Linked DNA regions of Neodiprion lecontei. The protein of the gene in region 2 interacts with the protein of the main gene of each other region in a pairwise test. Links are inferred from orthologs where the notes say so. Each region holds a gene or a part of one and is shown on either strand. Other genes may lie near its edges.

Region 1 (4,683 bases), about 10 Mb from region 2:
TTTTTTCAAATAATATGAAAATCAGCTTGTATCTGATGCCTTTCTCCTACCAACTGTTTCAAGGTCGTACTGTTCGATTGTAAATGAAAGAAAATCGATCAATTGTTATTATAATCCTGATTTTTTCACTTTCAACTGCGCTCAAAATAAATTTTTCAACTATAACGACGAAAAAAAAAAATGAATTTCAGTATAAATTTGAGAACGATTTGATGAGTAGATAATCGTAATTCTGTCGTCTCGGTTTTCTCGCCATACTTTACGCACCGCACAGGCCAATGCGCAAAACCGTTACGAGAACGAAGTTATTAACGTTAATGTACCGAAATGTTGAAACAAAAAACACTATTTTGCACCTTTAGAATACCTAAAGAAGTTTATTTTACAAAATCTGAGTTTGTTGATGCTGTACCAGCAGTTTATCAGATGTCAAGTAATCCTAAAGTTTCAAAACAACGACTTTTTCCAAAGACGCGTCGTTACAATAACGTTACAAACTTCAGCCTGATAAATCGTTAGCGTTTGAATACAACTTTTCTTTCTAAAATTAAAATGTTACCGAATTTAACGCGGGAGAAACAAGAATTAGAAACGCAATAAGACGATCGTCGACTTCCTCAACCGACTGTACGCACCTTCAAACAGAATTGAAAGTGAAACGGTCGGTCAACGGTATTTTACAACGGTCGCGCGCACGTAACCGCCGCTTACAGCGCGTCGGTGTCGAGTCTTTCGCATGGTGTGAAAATGGGAAGAAAACCGACAAGAAGGAATATGGCCGAAGTGGCGGAATGCGATTGGGAGAATTTCACCGAGCTTCGGAAATTTCCGTAGCCGTTTAGTCCATGGCGAATTATATAAACGGTCGCCGCCGGGACCGGACCAAAGAATAAACAACCGCAATACCAAGGACAGAGATCGGAGGGCCCGGTGTAACCGTCGCGACGCGACTTTCAAGGCGCCAGGACCCGAAGAGAGCAGCCAGAGAGAACAAAGAGAGCTTGAGCGCAGGTAAGCATTATACTCATCTTCGATGTAATGCTCTCAGGTAAATTTCACGGTAAATTTTTCTCTACCCTGCTCTTAGGATTCGTTTGAAGTCCAAAGGACTCGCACTCTTACAATTAGACCTTGCTGCAGGTAGATAATTCGGAGCCGAGAACAAACCGGATTCTCACCTGAGAACAAGTGAAAAGATTTTTCCCGTTTAAGGGGATGTCCTTGTCGATTTCGACGCCAACGTATATACGTAGCTCCAAGTATCGACGTCCAGGTATCTCTAACGAAAAAAGGGCTCAACAGTCCCATTCTATACACAATTTTGAACAAGAGAACTCCGATGCATTTTCATTTCAGGCTGAAATAAAGAAATTGCACGGATTCTACGAACCGTAACAGTAAGTTCGTAGAATTCATGCACCGAAAAATGGATTTCAGTGTTTTTGTATAGAATTGTGAATAGAATGAGACTATTGAGCCCTGTTTTTCGTTCGAGATACGTGGGCATCGATATTTGGGAACATATGCAGTCGAAATCGACCAGGGCACCCTTTTAATAACCTCGCTTTTGTTTGACGATTTCACATTTTCCAAAGCTCGAAATTACACAATTTATGGATTCGCCCCTCGTGACTTGAAATATTCATAATTATTCAACTGTACTATAACGTACCGGTGTTTGTGCCGTATTATCGAGCCTACTATAAAATCTGATAAGGTAGTCAATGAAAAATAGTAAAGGCAAACGTTCGAGTGTTGCCGATGAAGAAAAAAACTCAACCGTACGATCACTGAAAGCAGTGCTAAAAAGCTATGTTCTCTACTGCTTAAAATAAATGCATCAACGAAAAATCGTGAAGCGATTGAGTCTCCGGGTGTTGGTAAACTTGAAGCTGAGTGGGCGAGCTATAAAGCCTGCCAAATTGCGTTTGGATAAATAGTCTAGGAATGTTATGGGTAGATGGTATGTATTTTTTGTCGGTTCGTGAGAAGTTTATCTGCTATGAAAGCGCGAATGTCGCCGTCGCAACTTGTCTGATCCCGCGGCTAGAACATATAATCAAAGTAAGATTCGACTGACCCGCGAGGTAACCATCAGGCGTTTGCAGACAGACCGCAACGTCTGGGATTATAAATAGTTGCGATATACAAAGTCTGACGGTCTGACTTTGGCGGAACTCGATCACGGGTAAACGACACATTGGCTAGAAGGTGTGTGTAAACAAAGGAATGACCCAGAAAATTGAAAAACCCGAATTAAGCCGAAGTTTGTAACGAGCTTGTTGTGATGATGCATCTTTAGAGAAAATGGTTATTTTACAACTTTAGGATTACCGGAAATTTAGTAAACTGTTACCAAATACAGCATCACAAACTCAGATTTCGCAAATTCAACTTCTTCAGTTGTCTTAACGTTACAAACTTCAGCCTCGTAAATCCAACGCCGATGGAACCGTTAAAAAAAAAAAAAAAACTCCATCAACAACAATTGCACCGCGGTGCAACGCAACCGTCCGACGGTTTTCGAAACTCGCGCCCGTGGTTCACTTCGGACACCTGCTTGAGAACGGTTGCGACACGCACTGAGATACGATCGCGATTAGCGTCAGCGTTGATACGAATTTTACCAAAAACAACAAAAAGTCACACTCACATGTAAGTTGCAGCAACAGCAAAAGAGCAGCCACCTGTCTCCCGTGAGCCGCCATTGTCCGGAGTTTAAAACCGGTCAGCGAGCGGTCGCCGTTCTCTTCCTCTCGGTCCTTCGTCCGGAGATTCAAATTTATTTATAACAACCGCCGTCGTAACGTTTTCGATGCGTATTTCGGGAGCGTCTCTTATCGCTAGTGAAAATCGGCCCCGAATAATCGGTTATTCACTCTGACACACGCGGTCAAGGCTCGGACGTCTCTCCGACTGCGTCTATCTTTCTCCCGAGCTCTCTAATCACGCCCGCAAATCGACTTCAACGCGTCGTCGCTGTACGGTGGACGATTTCATACTGTGGCGGGGAGTGCCGCGCTCGTTTGATCCGACCCGTTCGGGCGAATTCGGCCGCGCTCGGCAAGCCTCGGCAAGCGGCGTCGCAGGTACAGCCGAAGACCGAAGACAAACGGCCAACTTCTCGGTGTTCTCGCGCGGCCTCGCTACGCATTTCTAGCGACTCGCGAACCTCGGGCCGTCACGTCGGCCGCGCCCATCGCATCCAGCGCTTTAATTGTTACAGCACCGTACGCGTTGACCTGCAGCCTTGTTACATTCGTTACCGTAGATCCTGAAACCTGAGGTGCCTTCATTCTTCGCTACGACTCTTCGCCCTGAACACCTGCCTAATTGGTTTATCCTTGAAATTAGCCGCATCAGGATAAGGTGGGAAGGTTCGGTTCGTCCGACGCCAGCCCTCAAGAAAATATTTCGTTGGTTGGTTTCGGCACCATGAACTTAAGTATTGTTCAAATTTTAGGAAATGTTCGGGCAGTTCGGTCTTCAGCTAATAAATCACACTCGGAATGCATTTTCTTGCAGTCAAATTTCTAAGAAAGACTACAAAAGAAAGTTTTTACATTTTTGTGTGGGTATTGACTGTAAAATTTCGAAAGTTGAAACAAAAAAGGACAAAAATTATTGCTAACAATAAGAAAATTTATCAATAATAATATGTGATATTGAATCGAATTACAGGAAAACGATTGAACACTCAGTTTTGTCAATTTCTAGTAATGCATTAAAACTCTTTCCAGTCATAGATTTCTCTATACAATTATTCTCATTGTCAGAAAAAAGTATATCAAGCATTGATATACTTATACTTTACAAAAACTTGCAACGCGTTTCGATTAATATTAGGAAATAATAATAGGTAATATACAAAAAATGCAAAGAAATCTCGAAAGTGCACATAATTTTATACTTCAGAGTTTTTCATTTAAAACAAAGGGATAAAAACCTTTATGAGAAATGGTGATAAAGGTGATGCCATTCTTTCTGGCTTTTTGTAAGTACTAAACTCAAGTACTAATTCTTCGTTTACAAGTAACACGGAAATCTTCTATCACGAATATTTCTCAGAACAATAATCTACCTGCCAGAAGGAAACTGTAAGAAATGTATATGAGCAGGTATAAATTAATCACCATTTTTAAGCCATCATGAGACATTTCTTAACCCAGGCTGATTCACGTGTAAGCTATTCTACACTAATGTTTGCCACATGATATTCGAATAACTGGTTGAATTTGACGATTTTCATTCTTTTCCAACTCTCTGTTTCCTTGTTTTCATGTACAGCATGTAATTATTATAAAAACGAATTATCAACATTGCGGTAAGTATCGTGCTTGCAATATGAGTAAACTAGCATACGTCGCAAGACAGGTTTTGAAACGTTGTTTTATCGTTTTTATCGTTTTTATCGTAGACAGTTTTCAACTTTTTTTGTGCTTTTAACACGAAAACATGAAATCAAACACACACCGCACCGCACAAAGGCAGAAACGGAAGCTCATTCAAAAGTCGAGGAGAGACAGAAAATTGAAATGGAATTGTGCGAAGGTTTGAAACGACGCAGGGATGTTCATGTGAAATTAACTGATTGTCGTGTGAACGAAGCTGATGTATACGCAACGAAATCAAACGTCGAGGATATTACCATCTCGCCGCCTATAGCGTTTACCCAGTACCCTA
Region 2 (4,669 bases):
CACTTCGTTGAAATTTCTCCAAGTGTAGGACCTCCCGTCACGGCAATACGGGGTAGATTCTTATACCGCATAGCTGAGGGTTGAAATCGATACAGTTTCCATGGTAACGCGGCTACTCGCTGGGCGGCCGACGCTCAGGCCAAGGCTACTCCACTCGTGCGTTTTCATACTGTTGGTCTGAAAGATGGTCTTTTTTTTGCACAAGATTAAAGTAAAAGAAATAAAAAAAACACTAAAAAAAAAAGAAAATCGAAACAATGAAAATTAAAAAACGCTCGTATAACTTTGTCATGGCGGGAAAAAAATTGCGCGCAAAAATTACAGTGACCTCGTTAGCCGCATATTCGTATGCTTCGGACATCTTTTTAATGATCTGCATGTACGTACATGTATGTATGTGCATACACATGCAGATCTCTTTTAATATTCACGTTCAAGGTTGCATAGTTATGTCGCTTATCATTCGGCATAACTATTTCGGATCATACTGTACTTATGATTTGCAAGCCAATAGTTTACACATCGCACTTGATCGGGTTGAATTACATTTCATCGTTTATCGATAGTTTTGTTTTTTCTTTAACTGTTCAAAATTCTCCGAGTCAATATAAGTATAATTTGCGTATCCTTGTTATTGATATAATTATATTAGTATGGGACATTCGGATATTCCACAGCATTATTGCGAAAATACATAATACATACATGTATTTGTGCGTAGATAACTTGTATAAGCTAAACGATCTGAAATCATCCCGAGAGGTTTACTATAATTGCTTTCAATTCGTTGGAGCGTGGCCATTACGCAAGAAACTTGATTGTGTACCGCGGTATGCTCCGCATAATGGTATAATAATTCCCAGTGTCCCTCGAACGCTGAAGGGTATAATCCATCACATCAGCAGCGGGGTATAGAAATGGCAATCAGCCGATTGATAATTTGCCTTTGCGTTTTGCGTCGCTACCGAACGGCGCAAAAAAGAAAAAAATGATGCAGAACTGAACCAAATTGGATGTGTTTTGTTAGCCAAATTTTGAAGAAAAAAAAAGAAAATAAATAAGTAAAAGACTCATGTGATCGGTAAGTATTAAAAAATCCGTCAACGAGCAGCTTTTTCCAATTTCCTTTCCGAAAGTTGGAAAACAAAACACAACCATTAATATCAGACAAAACATCGTCCGCTGGAACGTTGCTAAGTCGTCAAACCGTTGCTGGTTATTTGTATATGCATACAATAAACATTGGTAAACGGATCGAGTCATATTGAAGTTGGTAACGTTACCGCAACGATTCATCCTGAAGAAAAAAACCGTCATTTCACGATTTTGGTAACTGCCTGAAATCCGGCAAACCGTAATAAAACAAAACACACTCATATTTTGACGTCCTAGTCCCTTAAAAATCATTGTGAAATTAAAAATGAGTGATTATTTTCCCAATTCTTCGTTACGATCACGTTACCAACTTTAACCTCGTCACCTCGAATTACAGCAGCGTCGTCTACGGTTCACGCAAGCCGTTCTCCAGCCGGATGCGAATCGCGGTTCGCAAGGCAAAAATTTGAAAGACCAGTTTTCCCGCGCCGTATCGACTCGCCGGCAACTTCAGGCCCCTCGCCCCGCGGTACCGAGTCCGCCATCTTGATTCTACACTGTCGGCGACGACGGCGACGCTTCGCGACCCACCCAGTGCTGCGGTAAACGGGCGATTGAACCCTGCTGCACACGAATTACTGGCTCCCGGAGCAGTCGCGTCAAAAGACGGTTTTCGTGCGGGTAGTAAGGACAGGAGAGAGAATATAAGTTGGGAAAAAAGGGCAGGAGAGTAAACGGATAATAGAAGTCAACCGAACTCGTGATAAAACTGTGCCGCTGCGGAACAATTTCGAGATGACAGGGCTATTGATGCCTGTTTTTATCGGGGTGTTTCTCGCCTTTCGAACCGAGGTGAGTTTATTCGTTATGCCTACATTATACTCCTGCACTGTACGCACGTCACTGTCTTACAATTCCGTAGTATACGATAGCTCTGTCAACTTCTTCATCGTCAACGAATTAAAATGCATCTTCGATCCATGTTATACATCCTCTATATACACCTTATTATACACATATTATATTGATCTCGCGACTGCTTCATTTGTCGCCGCTTGCACTACGTTACAATAAATACTTTTAAAAAAAATCGCTAATTCGATCCGTTCTGTGGCAGGTTTCGTTCTCGCCACTTTTCCGTCGATACAAGCTGACAATAATATTTCTCTCGTAGAGATAAATTTCCCCGTTTCTCGCATTCTCCTCCTGAGTCCGCGATTCGCGGGTTCCTCGTTGATCGTTGCGTTAAATGCGACCGCGATTTACTCGCGTGTGTTGTCGTTAGATAGGAAATATTGTGCGGTTAAACTTCGCCTTCGTCGTTGTGCTAAATATTGATCGGGGTTTTATTCACCCCCGCAATTCTTTCGCTTTGCGTATAAACAATCGACTGTGCACTCGATCGTTTGCACACGTTTCTACGAGCGGCGCCTGTGTGCAGGCGTTGTGAAAAAAAAGACAATCTACTCTCGCCGTACGTGCGGAGTGATTTCGCAAAGCTCGCACGGCGGCTCCTCTATAATACATCAACGTCCCGACACCTGAACGTCCTTTTCATCAAACTGACGTAAAATCAATTATTCGTACAATCGGGCCCTGCAGTGACTCGAGTCGCGGGTATTATACATGGACCGTACATATTTACAGGCATGTATAATCAATCCGAAAACCCGACACGCACACCCGCCGAAATAACTTCGAGTTATAACTTGTAACGTCAATTTTCGTGCGATTCAACGTCAGCCGCGGCTGCTCGTTACAATCTGTGTATTTTACACACATATGCACAACGACGAATCGCTTCCATATCGATCCTGATAATACGGCGTACGATCGAGCCTTTAATATTGCCAGGATTCGTGTTCGTTATGCAAACTTGTCGGTGAAAAAAGCGGGCAGCATTTCCACGCTAACTACCTAGTCACGTTTTCGAAACAACCTGCGCCGGCTTATTTACGAGTAGTTGAATCATCAACAGCAGTTTCACGTCGTCCGCAATAACTTTGTACGATAAACTTGTACTTTTTCAAATTTTATCGCTTACAAATTACAATTCGTCGGTTTCTATTCCCCCGAAATTTCCAGAGGTTGTTAACGTTCGTTACCTTATTACAATGAAACAATGGGTAATTTTAATAACAACTCGTCGATCCACAGCTCCAGCCATAATCCAGCTTACATAATAATATATTTTTCCACAGTCAACTTCTTCAAAGTTATTCCAAAGTCGGAGAATAGTGATTTTTCCTGCAGAGTTTCATCGCGTATCGTAACGCGACTAACGATTCAGTCACCCGAAGTTTCATACGTTCAGTTATTGAAATTATACGAGGCTCTGCAGCATCGACAACGAACAGCTAGCAAAAATATTCTGCAAGAATAGCAGCGCGTCGCTTTGGGAATTGGCTATTTTGCACGTCGTTGGAGAATAAAACCGAGCAAGCACTTCTATAATTTTTACTCGGCAAATTTTTTCTACCATAATTTTACAATCGTCCCAAATGCAATATTATCAATCGTTTTCCAAACGGTCGCGCACCTTGTTTCGACCGACCGTATCGCAGGTGTGTTCACATGCATCCGAGGGATGCGGATGGGACAGGAAGATTTGAAACGGGTAGAAAGGACGCGGAGATAGGGTCCTAGATCCTGTTGCAGCTCGGGCTACCGAAATTGTCTTTTCTTTCATTCTAGCGGGAGTTTCTTCGCTTTGTAAATATGTATAATAATACCACCGAAAAACCCGCGCCGCCTCTAATTTGCGCGTTTAATACTTGAGAATTTTAAGCAGCAGGAAAATAGCGGTTTATATTCATCTTATACTCGGCTAAAATACGAAATTTATGTACAGGCAGGTATATACCGATACGTACCTTTTAAAGCAAATAATAATAAGAATAATAATTGAAAAAGTTTTTAACCTTGATAGAAGTAAAGTGTCTCTTTGAAATGGTAATATAAAGTTTTGTATCATCTCGTTCATCGATTATACGAGTATACGTGTATACGTGACATATAATCCAACCAAATTGGTTCAATTTAACCGGGCCGGGGTTGTATCGCTTTGTAGTTTATATAATATGTAATACCTATAATATGTATGTATACGTAAGCTTTCGTAGCGGCGTATGAAAATCAATTCAATATTGTGAATTGATTGGTACGCGGGTATAAAGTCTACACAATGTGTGTTGTATGTATTGTAGTTGAATTACAGAGCAGACGAGGTTTATAATATATTATTCTCTATTGCGGGTTATTCTTCATTTCATTTGAACAAATTACTCAGGTATTATATTTATATGTAACTTTAACCGTTGGCCATAACTTATTTATCCGCAAATTATTTACTTAATCGACGATTTATAGATTCGCCGTAACGATCAATAATTAATAAATAACAATCGATGGATGAAATTAAATTTCAATGAAGATATGCATCGATTTGATGCCAGACTAACAGACGTAACCGCGTGGAACCATTTCAAATTTCTATCAATGATGCTTCAAATCTACTCTCCGAACTTGGGTTTGAATAATTATGCGATTTTCGTCTTACAGTTTATACGCCATC

Evidence for each region.
Region 1: the proteins of amyloid-beta-like protein (region 2) and fasciclin-2 interact in binary tests that used the Drosophila melanogaster proteins (3 or more experiments, as listed by UniProt). The link is inferred for Neodiprion lecontei from reciprocal best matches to the Drosophila melanogaster genes Appl and Fas2.

Annotation. Positions count from the first base shown.
Region 1 is NC_060265.1:16,849,033-16,853,715, reverse strand, and holds the start of fasciclin-2, read right to left. Parts: upstream 3,007-4,683; 5' UTR 2,709-3,006; coding exon 2,654-2,708; intron 1,012-2,653; exon of another isoform or gene 453-1,011; intron 1-452.
Region 2 is NC_060265.1:27,176,767-27,181,435, reverse strand, and holds the start of amyloid-beta-like protein, read left to right. Parts: upstream 1-1,664; 5' UTR 1,665-1,890; coding exon 1,891-1,947; intron 1,948-4,669. UniProt on the Drosophila melanogaster protein: During development, plays a role in the regulation of the neddylation pathway. Appl and APP-BP1 interact antagonistically during development.